2 linked regions of the Sus scrofa genome follow. The protein of the gene in region 1 interacts with the protein of each later gene in a pairwise test. Links are inferred from orthologs where the notes say so. Each region holds a gene or a part of one and is shown on either strand. Other genes may lie near its edges.

Region 1 (7,589 bases):
TCTTTTTCCCTTAAAATGTATTTTGAGGATTGTCTCCTATCAGTCAGTATGAGGTTGCCTCATAAAATGTAAAAATGCACTGAAAGTGGAATTTCAGGGCCAGTGACTACATGCATTTAAAAATCATCAGGAGTTCCCGTCGTGGCGCAGTGGTTAACGAATCCGACTAGGAACCATGAGGTTGCGGGTTCGGTCCCTGCCCTTGCTCAGTGGGTTAACAAGCCAGCGTTGCCGTGAGCTGTGGTGTAGGTCGCAGACGCAGCTCGGATCCCGTGTTGCTGTGGCTCTGGCGTGGGCCGGTGGCTACAGCTCCGATTCAACCCCTAGCCTGGGAACCTCCATATGCCCCGGAGTGGCTCAAAGAAATAGCAAAAAAGACCAAAATAAATAAATAAATAAATAAAAATTATCAAACATCTCTTCCCCAAAGAAGTTAGCATACCCATCTAACCAGTCCACTTGTGATTTGAGTGTTGTAAATTTCTTTAAAGTTCCAAGATTAACATTGGGGACTGAATGAAGGTGATAAGCATAAGGTATTCAAAAATTTTTCACACTTCAAAATAATTATTTTTAATGTGCCGGCATAAATACACATAGCATTGCACGATTTATGCATTCATTATACCAGTAATTCATTGTGCCACGACCCACATGTATAGTTGGTTCCTCTTAGAACCACTAGGGGGCTCTGCTGGAAGGGTTTTACAGCTTATGTTAGTCCCTTCAGGGAAATTTTCCCAGATGTTTTAGAATAATGAACTCTTAAAACTTGAGAGAGATCATCTTATCCAGCTTCCTTATTCTGCAAAATAGGAAACCAAGGTTGGCCAAGAGAGCTGAAATGGAGGAGAGCTGGAATTAAAAATCCCTTCTTGGTTCCCGTGGCAGTAGTTCAATAAGTTCATTTTTGCCAAGTGCCTCCGTGAGTGGTTCACTCCAAGTGCTTACTTTCTTTTTCAGTGCCACAATTTCAGTAATTTTTGCTGAGACGGTGATTTCGTGATATTCTTCTAATAGGATACTTTACTGATTGGTTAAAGTATCCTATTAGAAACATAGTGAAAGAAGTGACTTTAATATAACTTCTAAATAAACATAATTACTTATTACAAAATGTTTTCTATTCAAAGCACCTCTCAGCATCAAAACCATATTACCTAGGAGTTCCTTTGTGCTGCAGTGGGTTAAGGGTCTGGCCTTGTCACTGCAGCGGCTTGGGTCACAGTTATGTCGAGGGTTCGATCTCTGGTCCAGGAACTTACAAATGCCGCAGGCTCGGCCAAAAGAAAAAAACACTCAAAACCCCCCCAAATCCACAACCATATTACTTATTGGAAACTTTAGCAACCGCTTTCAAATTTACTTTCCATTTAAAACATTTTAGTCTTATCGTTACTCATTTATTCATTCAATATTTATTAAGGGCCTTAATAGGCACCAGGCACAGTTGTAGATCCTAGGTTTAAGTAAGTAAAGCTGCCCTTCTCGCCCAAGAAACATCTACTACTCCATTTTTCACTTTAATATATAAACTATTTTCACATGTTCAGTGGTTCCCACTGTGTGGCTCCAGAAGCAGCGGCAGGAGCAGCTGCATCTGGGAACTTGTTACAAATGCAAATTATTAGGCCCACCCTATACTCTAGGAATGGGGCCCAGCAATCCGTTTTCTTTTTATTTTTTAACAAGTTATTCAGGGATCCTAATGTACATTCGAGTTCCAAAACTATGGTTTTAGTTCCAGGGCTTGGTATTAATTACCTAAGCAGGTCAAAGATCAACACCTGGCTTCTAAATTCCATGGAGTACTGGTCTCAAATAAAATTGATGAGACCCATACTTAACTTTATAATTTGTTGTACCTGTTAAGATCCTGGAATGATCGTAGTAATAGCAGCACCGTAAGAGCTTCATAACAAAAATGAACCTCAGTGCATTTGCCGGGCCTACACCAAGAAAAAATAGGCCAGACTGAATTCCAGGACAGTGTTTTCAGACACTAAACACAGGCAGGCACACTAAGCCTGTGGGTTCTGGGTCTGGCTGAGTCAGGGCGGCGCTCCAAACCGAGTGGAGCCGCGTGAACCCGTCAGGCTGGACTCGAACCTTCGGTTACAGGCCACGGTCTGGAAGCCTGGACCATACACCTGGTTCGAAGAGGGGCAGAGACGCCTGAGAGGACCGAGGAGGCCGGGGCAGCGCTGACCAGCGCGGAAGCCGCACCCTCCAGGCCTCAGACGCCGGCAGGGCGGAGCCACGCGGCCGCAGCTCGGGCAGAGACGCGCGGCGCGGGGCGGCGCGGCGCGGGTTCGCAGCTGAGGCGTATGGGGCTACAACGGGAGCGGCTGCGCCGCCCGGTCAGGTCAGCGTCGTGCGCAGGCGCGGACCTGGCGCCATTTTGGTGGCCGGGCGCGGAGGTGATTCCACACTGAGGAGAGCGCGGCGGCCGGAGTGGCAGTGGCAGCGTTCGTGTGCTCTGGTGTGAATCGCCGAGGGAGGAGGCGGTGGAGGAAGAGGTGGCGGCGGTGGCGGTGGTCGTAGCGGTGGCGGAGGAGGCGGGTACGAATCAGCTGCGGGCGGAGACATGGCCAACATCGCGGTGCAGCGAATCAAGCGGGAGTTCAAGGAGGTGCTGAAGAGCGAGGAGGTCAGAAATGAACTCCCGAACGTCCCCCACCTCAGCCCATGGCGGGAGGGTCCTTCCACTGGCGTCCCCAATATCCCTAGTAACGCCCGAGTGGCCCTCTTTGCGGCCGCCCTTCTGCCTGTGGGGAAGCAGCAGTCTCCCCCTCCTTCCGCCGCCTTCCCCTCCCCTTCCAGGGCCCTGGGATGGACGGTCTCGCGGGCGGGTGATCTGGAGAGGAATCAGATTGGGGGGGGCAGATGGAGAAGGGGGCGCTTAGACGCGGGGTGTGAGCTCTTGAAAGAGCCCCTAGATAGTGGCAACAGCTGGAAGTGTGGTTGTAGGGTGGGGAGTGAGCAGGCCGAGCCTGAGAAAACCCGGGAAGTAGGTTGGGGGAAGGGGAAAGGTGGTAACTGGATCCCGAGAGCTGCGCTGCTCAAAGGCCCTCACTTTTAAGGGTATTCTGGGTTGTAGCCGATCTGGCCGCCGCTGTCCTTTCCTTAGGGAAGGAGCGATGAGAGTTCCTAGGTATTGATGAAAGAAGGCCGTTCAGAGTTACTCCCTTTTAGTTGGGTGTTGGAAGAGAGAGCAAGACATAATGGGGTACTGTCTATATTGTTTAAGTGGGGGATAAGGGCATTGCCACTTGAGATAGGAAATTAATTCCATGTTAGAGAATTATCTCATTTCCACTTACCCCCAAATCCTAGGCCTCTTTTTTGTAGGCACCTAAAGCTTTTTGACTAGGTAAAGGCAGGTTGTTTGGTGTGTTAAAGACATTTAAATATTTATAGCTGGGATTAGGACATATAATGGAGTGTATGAGTAGCTTATTTTAAAATGTTTACAAGTTACAGATCAGAGTCTGTTTTAAGACATTGCCTCTGTGACACTGCTGTGTTGTGCCATGAAACTTCATTATGATGTCCCTCATAGTTAACTTGATTCTTACTATTGAAAAACAGTGCTATTAAAAAAAACATGAGGTTTCAGCAGATTAATACATTGTTATATCTCCTTATTAAACATGACATTTCAGCAGATTAATAAATACATTGTTATATCTCCTTATCCCAACATCTATCTGAAAGGATTAAAAAGTTTTTTTGTCTCAAGCTCCTCTTGAGTCCTGTAGAACACTCTAGTGTTGGCCACATTTATTAATATGTTTTAAATGTTTTAGTAATTTAGTAATTTGACTCAATTATGAATCAGTGTAATTTTTCATACCCAAATCAACGAGAATGCTAGGTTGTTTTTCCTTGTTGGATTCAACAAAGAAAGATTGAGCATATTGAATGGTTATTTTCAAAATATCACACACCATTATTGAAAGTATCATTACTATATGTGTTTTTCTCTTATATCAATACTTTGACGAGCTCAGTGATTTGTGAAATTTAGCATTCTAAGTATGTGATGAATTCTGGATATAAGTCTGATAGCACTTGAACTATATTTGTGCCACCGAGTCTTTCCAATTAGACTTGCAGAAAATTCTTTAAAATTACTAAAAAATGCCAAACACCAGCAGATTTATTGAATGTAATAGTTATGTGAGTAATAATTGGTTTTACCGAGCATGTGTATGAACTCTGACCTCTGTATTTGTTCAGGTGCCAAAACTCTGAATGGAAGGATGACTTTGTATTTTTGTGGTACATTGTAGAAATAGAGTCATAAATGCTTGTACTGACAATACAATGAAACAATGATTCTAAATTCTTGTTTAATAAGAAAATATATTCCAGGATAGTTGACATATATATTCCTAATAGAAGATTGCGGGTAATATTGCTAGTAGCCTAAAACATTTCTCTAATATGGTTGTACAAGCCTGAAATATAAGATTTTAACGCTTTATTTTCTGTTACTTAAAAGTGGTAAGTACTGTTCTCGTAATTCATATGATCTGATTGCATATTGTGAGGTGACTTTTCACAATATTCTTAGTACTTAAATTGAAGCTTAAAAGAAATCTTGTATTGCTTTAGTAATGCATATTGTTAAAATTACATGTAAGGGATGATGAAATCTTGCTGTCAAGTAAGTGTTTCAGAGGAAGAAAGTAGAAAATACAAACATTTTATTTTTTTAACAAGAGTGCCTTTATAAATCTGAAAGGAAACATCTTCCAGAAAGTAAGTTGCAAAGAACATTTAGAAAAGGGTCAGGTAATTTAATTTTGGAATATAACCAATAAATAGTTTTATTTTCACCAATATTTTATTTCATTGATATTTTAATAAGCCCAGTTCTATAATTGGATTATATTATTTTCAACTCATTGAAGAACTTATAATACAGTCCATGTATTTCTTTTTTAATGTATGTAAAGGCAATATTTGAATGGCTTGTCAGATAGTCAAGTATTTCCTCATGTCACCTATGTAAATCTTCATTTTACTAAAGTTTATTTCATATGGTTGTGCTTACTAGGAATGGTTTAAGGACTCCTCTCCAACCCCGCGCCTTTTTAAGTGCCTTTGTGAAAAGATAACTGACATTTGCTGAATTCTGGCTCTAAGAAGTTGTAAGTGGCCATTCTTGGAGTGTGTTGTTAAAATATAGCCTCCCAGATCAGTGTGAAAAGCACAGTGCAGAATAGTGGGAGGAGGCCACCATTTCTGGGGAGATACGTGTATTTGTTTGTATAGGTGAAAGGATTAATGAGAAATTGGTAGTGTTGATTGCTTCTGGGTGGGGGACTTGGGTGTCCCGGGCAACTGGCATCAGAAGATCCCTCTTAGGAGTTCCTCTGTGGCTCAGCAGGTTAAGGATCCAGCATTGTCACTGCAGTGGCTGGATTGCTGCTGTGGCATGGGTTCAGTCCCTGGCCCAGGAACTTCTGCATGCCACAGGTGTGGCCAAAAAAAAAAAAAAAAAAGATCCTGGAGTTCCTTTTGTGGCTCATCAGAACCGAATCTGACGAGCATCCCTGAAGATGCAGGTTCGATCCTTGGCCTCGCTCAGTGGGTTAAGGATCTGGCATTGCCATCAGCTGTGGTGTAGGATCCCAGGCTCTGATCTGGTGTTGCTGTGGCTGTGATGTAGGCCGGTAACTGTAGCTCTCATTTGACCCCTAGCCTGGGAACTTCCATATGCTTCAGGTATGGGACTAAAACGACCGAAAAAACTGGAGCCTGATTTGTATTACTGATTAAAGGATTTAAACACAACCTAACTTGTTAGTTTAAGCATTAAAATAAATGTTACGTGTAATTAAAATTTTGCTTGCATTTCAATATGCAAAATACTTTTAAGAGTTCCTGTTGTGGCACAGTGGGTTAAAGGATCTAGCATTGCTGCAGCTGTGGCATAGGTTGCAGTTGCAGCTCCAATTCAGTTCCTGGCTTGGGAACTTCCTATGCCACGGGTGCGGCCATTAAAACAAACCCCCAAATATTTTTAAATTCAAAGCTCAGTGAAATAGGCGTTCCCTTCGTGGCTCAGCGGAAGCGAATCTGACTGACTAGTATCCGTAAGGATACATCTTCAGTCCCTGGCTTCTCTCAGTGGGTTAAGGATCCAGCATTGCTGTGAGCTCTGGTATAGGTCACAGACATGGCTCAGATCTTGTGTTGCCATGGCCGTGACATAGGCCAGTGACTACAGTTCCAATTCCAGTTCGACCCCTAGCCTGGGAACCTCCATATGCCGTGGGTGCAGCTCTAAAAAGACCAAAAAAAAAAAAAGGCTCAGTGAAGTAAAACACCCTTAAATCAGTGTACATACTTTTTTGCTTGTTCTTGTGTATGGTACCTGCAGGTTTTTTTCATATTGTAGCTTCGCTTTGCTACATTTCTAGGATCCTCAAGGAGTATTTAAATCAACGGCATTAACAAATTGATTTTTTGAAAACTACTATTGTATAAGTTTTTCTTAAGCATTTTAATGGATTTTTGTATTGTTATTTTACGTTTTATATATTTGATCTAGATTATTCTGTATAGAACTAGTTGCAGATCTTCAGAAGAAAGTCTCTTGGTTTCTGTAGACCATGGTTTTTCCAACCTTGGCACTATTGACATTTGGGGCATATAATGAATTCTTTGTTGTGGGTGGTTCTCCTGTGCATTGTAGGATGTTTAGCAGTATCTCTGACTAATAGCATTAGATGCCAGTAGCACAGCCAGTCTTTCCCCCACCTCCTTACTCTCTTCCTGTCAATTGTATTGACTAAAAATGTCTCCAGACTTTGCCAAATGTTGAGAACCACTGCTATAGACAGAACTCTTTAGAAGAACATTTAGGACTGTTAACTATGTAAGATATGTAGTATAAATTATCTAAAATATGAATGGACAGTAAGGATACAGAAAATTATATAGCGTGGTTACTGCTAGCTTTGAACATTCTGTTTTTGTTTTTAAGACTTTGCCCCTTATCAATTAATCATTAACTTTTTGTTTTAAACTTTTCTCCTCTTTGGCTCTGCCTATGGCGTGTGGAAGTTCCTGGGTCAGGGATTTAACCTGCACTACAGCAGCAACCTAAGCCACTGCAGTGACATCACCAGATCCTTAACACGTTGTGCCACAAGAGAACTCCTGAACTTTATACTTTTTGATTTAAAGAGAAAGATGAAATTTCCTATTGTAAATTAATGTGACCAGAATTTGAACAATTTTTTTTTTTAACAGAAAAATAGTTATGTAGGTGATAGTTCGGTGTAGCTTATTTAAATAGTGTGCCTTATGAGGTTCTAGGTGTGGGTTAAGCAAGGAAAGCTTTATAGGTCAGGTTAAAAAAAAATTCTAAGCCTGTCCAAGTGATACTGTTTGGGGTGCATTTCTTGGTTTTTTTGGTTTTTGTTTTTGTTTGTTTTTAATAAAGACTTTGATCTCTGTCCATGACGCATAGATTTAGATGCATCTGGGATCCCTTAGCATGTCAGTCCTTTGTAAAGAATATGTATTCCTGGAAGTTCCCTTGTGATGCAGCAGGTTAAGGATCTGGCCTT
Region 2 (7,429 bases), on another chromosome or scaffold:
GCGGCTCCCAGCCCCACCCGGGACTAGGCGAGCCAGGAGAGAGCCCTGGCCCTCACCCTGTCCGGGTCTCGCCCACCCGGGCGCGGATAGGCGCCTGAGGGCAATGGGCTTCAGCGCTCCGCCGCGCGCATGCGCGGTCCTCTTTTCCCAGAGGATTCCTCGGATCACCTGGACGACCGCATTTCAGCTACCTGTCCCTCCGGGTCCCTTCTCGCCCTTGACTCCTCCTGCTGGTTCTCACCTCCATCCCCCAGCCTTCTCCTTCTTCCGCAGGCGTCGCTAGGCCCTCCCGCGGCCGCCCGCCGACACCCCGGCTTCCACTGACACGAGCCTCTCGGCGTGGCTTCCGCTTCCGGCGAGTATTGTGTGTCGCGCTGCGGGGCGGGGGCGGGGGGAGGAGGAAGGAGGGAGGCAGCGCTCCGGCGGCTCCGCGCCCCGCACTCCCGGACCCGAAGCCGGGAAGGTAGGTGCTGTCCCGCCGCGGCGCCCGGGCCCTGGGGCCTGCCCCCGCCGGCCGGCTGCGCACGCCGCGTCCTAGCGCCCCGCGACTGCGTCACCGGCCCCCCGCACGTAACCACTGCTGCCTCCGCCCGCCTCGGGCCCGGGCGGACGTTTTGCCGCCCCGGCGACGTCAGCGCGTCCGGCGTTGCTTGGCTACCCCGCCGTTCCCCCGTCCCGCTGCCGCTCACCTCCCCGGGTGAAACTCTGACGCCGTCACCGCGGGTCTCGGCCGCGTCATAGCGGCGGGCATCCCACCTTCACGTCACACCTTCTTCTCACCTGGACACTCATCCCTCCCTCCCTGCCAACCACGGCGTTTCCTTTCCCCCTCTCCAGTCCCCCTGCGCCAGATCTGGCGGGAGAAATGGAGACGGGGTGGGACCGAGTCGTGGACCACGCTCAGGAGCGGGTCGTACGGCGGGACCCAGGACAGTGGTAGAAACAAAACGAGGACGTTTCCGAAGTTTGCCCTTCTACTGAGATATGAGGAGTAGAGGCTAAGAAATGACCAACCCAGAGACACCCAAAGCCACACTATTGCTGTAGCTCCAAATTCTCTCCTCATATTTCCTTAACCTTTTCCCCATCTCTCACGCTGCTTCTTTACCACTCTAGATCCTTCCTGGTCCCTAATTCTGCATACAGTTTAACTCACCCCAGGTGAAGAGACCACCTAATTTCTAGAAGGTTAGGGAAAGTGAATAGTCACTGGTCCAAGTTGGATTCCTGTAGGTAGAAAAAAATCATCCGACTGAACTTCTGGTTGAGGGAAGAAATTCAGGTCCAAACAAGTTAACCAGTTCCTACTCCAAATGAAACACTTTTCACGTGTGCCATAAATATATACAGGAATAATCATTGTTAACCCTAATCATTACATGGCCACTTGTCTCTCAACACATAGACTTAATAAATTTATTCTCTTGGGTCCTCTGTGTGTGTGGGGGGGTCCACAGGAGGGGCTAAGGGGATAGAGAAATCAACTATTTTCGTGGATAAAAGTGGTGATGTTTTAAGTGGAGTAGAGGACCAGCCTTCTGGTTTATAAATCTCTTACATGCATTTGCAATTCTTTTAAGGCTTCGTTTGAGGAAGTTTTTGATTGCCTCTTTACTTTTAATTCCCAGCCACTCCAGAACCTATTATTTGGAGGTACAGTACATCCAAGGAATTAGTTATTGATGTTGATTTCAGAAGACTCCAGTCATTGCTGAATACTAGAATAGACATGTCAGCTGTCTTTTCAAGAAGTTCTTGCCCTGGGCTCAGTAATAGAAATAGACTTTCTAGTACAGTTGCCATGAATTTATCACTTTCTAGCAGTTCCAAAAGTCCAAATGCACACAAATAGAAATGAGTTGTTGTATGAATCATTTCATTCCGAAAAGATAGCACACTTCCTCTAGGCTAGCCTGCTAAAAGGAAGAATAATTCCAGACTTCTGAAAAAAAGAGGTTGTTACCCTTGCCTAACTCACTCCATTTATTACCGTTTGAAAGAGTGAGAGAACAATGCCAGAGAATCAAGCTTAGGTTCCAATGGGCTATTGTAGTAAAACTCTTCTGTAACATTACGCTTTAATGCATACTTAAGGAACCTTAATTAGGAGTTCCTGCTGTGCTGTAGTGGGTTAAGGATCTGGCATTGCTACAGCTGTGGCATAGGTCACAGCTTCAGCTGGGATTCGATCCCTGGCCCCAGGGAACTTCCATATGCCACGGGTGCAGCCAAAAAAGAAAAGAAAGAAAGAAACCTTAATGCTTGACTTTTATGGCACATTCCACTTTCTGAAACTCCTTTCTCATCCATTAGAAAAAATATGTCGGGGAGTTCCCATTGTGGCGCAGCGGACACAAATCCTACTAGTATCCATGAAGATGCAGGTTCAATCCCTGGCCTTGCTTGGATTGCCATGAGCCATGGTGTAGGTTGCAGATGCAGCTCTGCTTCAGAGTTGCTGTGGCTGTGGTATAATTGGCCGGCAGCTGTAGCTCCAAATTGACCAGTAGCCTGAGAACTTCCATATGCTGTGGAAGTTCTTTTTTTGGCCCTAAAAAGCAAAAAGAAAAATGTGTTGGAGTTCTTTGGTGGCTCAGCCAGTTAAGGATCTGACATTTTCACTGCTGTGGCTTTGGTTCAGTCCCTGGCCTGGGAACTTCCACCTGCCATGGGCACAGCCAAAAAAGATAAGTATGTCCAACCAGGAATTCATTGGTCTGGAACTATTGGTTCTAAGACACAAATGGAATGAAACAGAATCAGGAGAAGTACTTTGGGCTAAAGTTGAAAGGGGCCTCTGTTTCTAACAAGAGGAAGTGATAATAGACAAGAGATTGAGGGTTATATGTCAGTTTGCTGCAGAGAAAAAAAAAGTTAATGTCTGGGAGTCACAAGTTTTGGAAATGGAGAAACAAAAGAGCTTGACTAGTGGGAGAGAAGATGTAAAATACCACGAAGGGACTAAATCTGCAGTTAGCGTTTAACATGGACGTACATGTCAGGTCAGGGATGCCAAAAAATTAAACCTCCAATTAACATTTTTCTTTCCTCTTCCCCCTTCCTAACTTCAAGTTAAATAATGGCAGAGACAAGTCTGTTAGAGGCCGGGGCCTCTGCAGCCTCCACAGCTGCAGCGCTGGAGAACTTACAGGTGGAGGCAAGTTGTTCTGTGTGCCTGGAGTATCTGAAGGAGCCTGTCATCATTGAGTGTGGGCACAACTTCTGCAAAGCTTGCATCACCCGCTGGTGGGAGGACCTAGAGAGGGACTTCCCTTGCCCTGTCTGTCGAAAGACATCCCGCTACCGCAGCCTCCGGCCTAATCGACAGCTGGGCAGTATGGTGGAAATTGCCAAGCAGCTCCAAGCTGTCAAGCGGAAGATCCGAGATGAGAGCCTCTGCCCCCAGCACCACGAGGCCCTCAGCCTCTTCTGCTATGAGGACCAGGAGGCTGTCTGTTTGATATGTGCAATTTCCCACACTCACCGGGCCCATACCGTTGTGCCACTGGATGATGCCACCCAGGAGTACAAGGTAAGGAACCAGACACATGATGCTAATGCAGGGCAAGGGAGAGGAGTGCAGAGGGTGAGAGATTCCCTGGGTAGAAGATCATAAGTTCCTGAGGGCAAGATGGTATCTGGTCCTCACTCTGTATTCCCCTCAGAGCTACATACACTAGGCACACAGCACATCTGATCAGTTATCCTCAGGCATGAAGAAGAGCAGTGAGAGGAGTTCCCATCATGGCACAGTGGAAAGAAATCTGACTAGGAACCATGAGGTTGCAGGTTTGATCCCTGGCCTTGCTCAGAGGGTTAAGGATCCAGTGTTGCCATGAGCTATGGTGTAGGTCGCAGACACGGCTCAGATCTGGCATGGCTGCACCTGTGTCATAGGTCAGCAGCTGTAGCTTCCGTTGGACCCCTAGCCTGGGAACCTCCATATGCTGCAGGTACGGCCCTAAAAAGCAAAAAAAAAGCAATGAGAAATATCCCAAAATTTCTCTCTGACTTTTATAACACATCTGCGTATGTGTGGTCCTGGAATGTATTATGTTTTTCACAAGTGAATGAAACCGCATGGAGAAGATCAAATTTAGGAAGAACTGAAAGGTAGTCTGGTTTCTTCATTCTTTCCTCCTGCTCACATGCCCCTTGTTTAACCTAGTATTGGGCATAGATAACATCACTTTAGAATGACCTCCACCAGGCCAAGCTGAACCAGTCTGTTTGCATCTTGCCTGGATGATAGATAACATGGTATACGGATTAACTTACCACTGGGACCCAGGATACATGTTTGAGTAATAGGAACTCGAGATTTTAATGTCTTAGCACTTTATCAAGAACTTTGACCAATTATATTAGTAAAATCTTAGAAATAAGATTTTATGGTAGTTTCCAAAATAAGTAATCAAGATTGTATTATATTTGCAAGTGGTTAGAGTTGGATAGGACAACAATTTAAAGAAAGATATCAGGGGACAGGAGGTCACTTTGACAGTAATAGGCAGTTCCATGAGTAAGAAAATGAACAGGGCAGGAGAAGGACAGAGAGTTGGTGACAGCTGGACACTGTGAGATTCAGTGAAAGGAAAGTTTGGTGAACAAAGAAAGTGATATGGAGACAGGTTGGTGGCAGGAAGAGGGACCTGTAGGAAATTGACACCCCAAATGACAGACAAGGCAGTTGCATCAAGAGGTGGTAAGAGATGGATAGGAAGCAAAACAAATGATTTAAAACAAATGGGTTAGTTTCTGAACATAGGATGTACCAGATAATCCCAAATGCCATTCTCCCACTTTGCACCCCTCAGGAAAAACTGCAGAAGTGCCTGGAGCCCCTGGAGCAGAAGCTACAGGAGATCACCCGCTGCAAGTCCTCTGAGGAGAAGAAGCCTGGCGAACTCAAGGTAAAGGCAGGAGATCCATTTGGGCTGCTCTACAGGCAGTTAACCAAACATTAACCACACATTATTTAACCCCCCCAGTTCTGGTTCCTTAGAAAAATGCTATTCTCGGAGCTCCCGCTGTGGCACGGTGGGTTAAGGATCCCTCGTTGTCTCTGAGGCAGCAAGGGTTCAATCCCCGGCCCAGTGCAGTGAATTAAGGATTCATCGTTGCCACAGCTGTGGTGTTAGGTTGCAGCTGTGGCTGAGATTCAGTCCCTGGCCCAGGAACTTCTATACGCGGCCATAAAAAGAAAGAAAAAGAAAAATGCTGTTCTCTCAGAAATGATGGTATTTTTATTAAGCTTGATTGTCATTAAACATTGTACTTAGATTAATTGTCATGGATTAAGTATTGAGAAAGATGGAAGAGGTGAAGGACAGAATATCTTATATCTGTGGAGTTGAGGGAGTTCATGCCTGTTGGTCTCCTTTTCTTTGTAAGGCAGGGAAGAAGGCTCTCTGCTGAGTGGGCAGGGATAGGAGTTTCTTAGAGGGATTGAGGCAAGAAGAATGTGGAAGATGCACTCGGGAGGAAGGATGGAGGAGCTGCCCAGTAACCTCTAGACCACATTCTCTTAACTCAAGTAAACTCAAAAATGCTAGATGAGGTTAGTTTCTAGGATAGTCTTCCTTTCCCCATCCTCTACTGTAGGATCCTATTGGTGAAAACCACTGCTTATGTAGCCTTTCTGGAACCTTTAGAAATTGGCTCTTTTAATTTGCATACAGTTTTGCATCTCTTCCATAGCATTAACATATTTGTAGCATGGTATTTTGGTATCTGTCCTATTTCTTCTATTGGACAGTGAGACATGTATTAATAGTAGCAGTAATAATAACTAGTATTTATTGAGCCCTGAGCATTAATTCATTAGGTATCCAAGACATTCCAAACTTTCAGGATTGTGTTAGGTCTTAGAGTTCTGCCCGGATTGAAGTTCTAAGAATTCAGGCTAGACTTGGCTCAAATGGGACGTAGAGAAGGTACAAGATAAGAAGAAGGGAGTCCAGGAAGTCATATTTGGCAAGAGTGAACTTAGAGACCCTGTAAGGTAAGTATTGTTATCCCCAGTTTACACAGGAGGAAACAGAACTTGATAAGTGACTAGTCCAAGATCATATAGCCAGTGTGTGGCAAAACCAGGGATGCAAATTCTTTGTTTTTTTTCTTTTTTTAATGTGAGTTGCAACATTTATTTCAGGTTCTCTCTTGTTTTGTTGTTGTTGTTGTTTTTGTTTTGTTTTGTTTTTTCCTTTTTTGCCACACAGGCAGTATGTGGGAATTCCTGGGCCAGGGATCAAACCTACACCACAGAGCACAGCAGCAGCCAGAATCTCAGTGGTGAGAATGTAGGAGCCTCAACCCACTAGGCCATCAGAGAATTACCAGGGACACTAATGCTACATGAATCAATAAATATTTACTAAGGAGTTGCCATCATGGCTCAGCAGTAATGAACCTGACTAATATCTATGAGGACATGGGTTCAATACCTGGCCTCACTAAGTGGGTTAAGGATCTGGCACAGCCATGAGTTGTGGTGTAGGTTGAAGATGTGGCTTGGATCTAGCATTTCTGTGGTTATGGTGTAGGCCAGCAGCTGCAGCTCCGATTCCACCTCTAGCCTGGGAACCTCTATGCCACAGGAGCAGCACTAAAAAGACCAAAAAAAAACAAAACGAACAAATAAATATTTACTAAGCGTCTAGTATAGGCCAAACCCTGTCTTTGATACTGGGGAACAACGATGAGCAAAAACACAGTCCCTACCGTCCTTCAGCTTATAGTCAAGTGGAGAAAATAGAAATGACATAGCACAAAAAGCACAGTTGCAAATTCATAAGGAGACAGTGTAGAAACTTAACCTCATCAAGGACTTCCAGAAGAGGGGCTCTCCTGTGATGCAGCAGGTTAAGGATTTGGTGCTGTCATTTCAGTGGCTTGGGTTACTGCTGCGCTTATTTATTCCCTGGCCCTGGAATTTTCGTATGCCTTGGGCACAGCCAAAAAAAAGTAAAAGAGAGAGAAAGAAAGAAAAAAGATTTCTAGAAGAAATAATGAGTCGTTTTTGGAGTTGATATTTAGGGACCACAAAAAATTAAACACAGGTTTGAAATTAGTAGAAACACTAACTTTTTTAAAACAATGACAACATTTCAACAAGAAGTAAGTATTATTCAGTATTACTAAGTATTACCTTGGTCCTTTATACATTTTAACAAACAAGCATTTGAATTTTTTAGAACTTGAACTAATTTTGAAAAATTAGTTCATTTCGAAAAAAGTTCTTTGTCCTTTTGGAGGGTTCCCTAAGGAAATATGTGAAAATAAAGCTTATACCCTGGTTATTAGCTTCCTTCTTCCTGTTGATCACCTTCTTAAAGGAAAAGAATGGAGAGAAGAATAAAAATTTTTTAAATGTGCTAAATGTTTGAACAGAACTGTAGTGTCTTTTTAAAATGTAAATTATCATTTC

What was found. The genes of interacting proteins can lie anywhere in the genome.
Region 2: the proteins of UBE2K (region 1) and TRIM39 interact in binary tests that used the Homo sapiens proteins (3 or more experiments, as listed by UniProt). The link is inferred for Sus scrofa from reciprocal best matches to the Homo sapiens genes UBE2K and TRIM39.

The regions. Positions count from the first base shown.
Region 1 is NC_010450.4:30,885,407-30,892,995, forward strand, and holds the start of UBE2K (ubiquitin-conjugating enzyme E2 K), read left to right. Parts: upstream 1-2,587; coding exon 2,588-2,650; intron 2,651-7,589. UniProt on the Homo sapiens protein: Accepts ubiquitin from the E1 complex and catalyzes its covalent attachment to other proteins. In vitro, in the presence or in the absence of BRCA1-BARD1 E3 ubiquitin-protein ligase complex, catalyzes the synthesis of 'Lys-48'-linked polyubiquitin chains.
Region 2 is NC_010449.5:23,047,123-23,054,551, forward strand, and holds the start of TRIM39 (tripartite motif-containing protein 39), read left to right. Parts: upstream 1-3,079; coding exon 3,080-3,532; intron 3,533-4,817; coding exon 4,818-4,913; intron 4,914-7,429.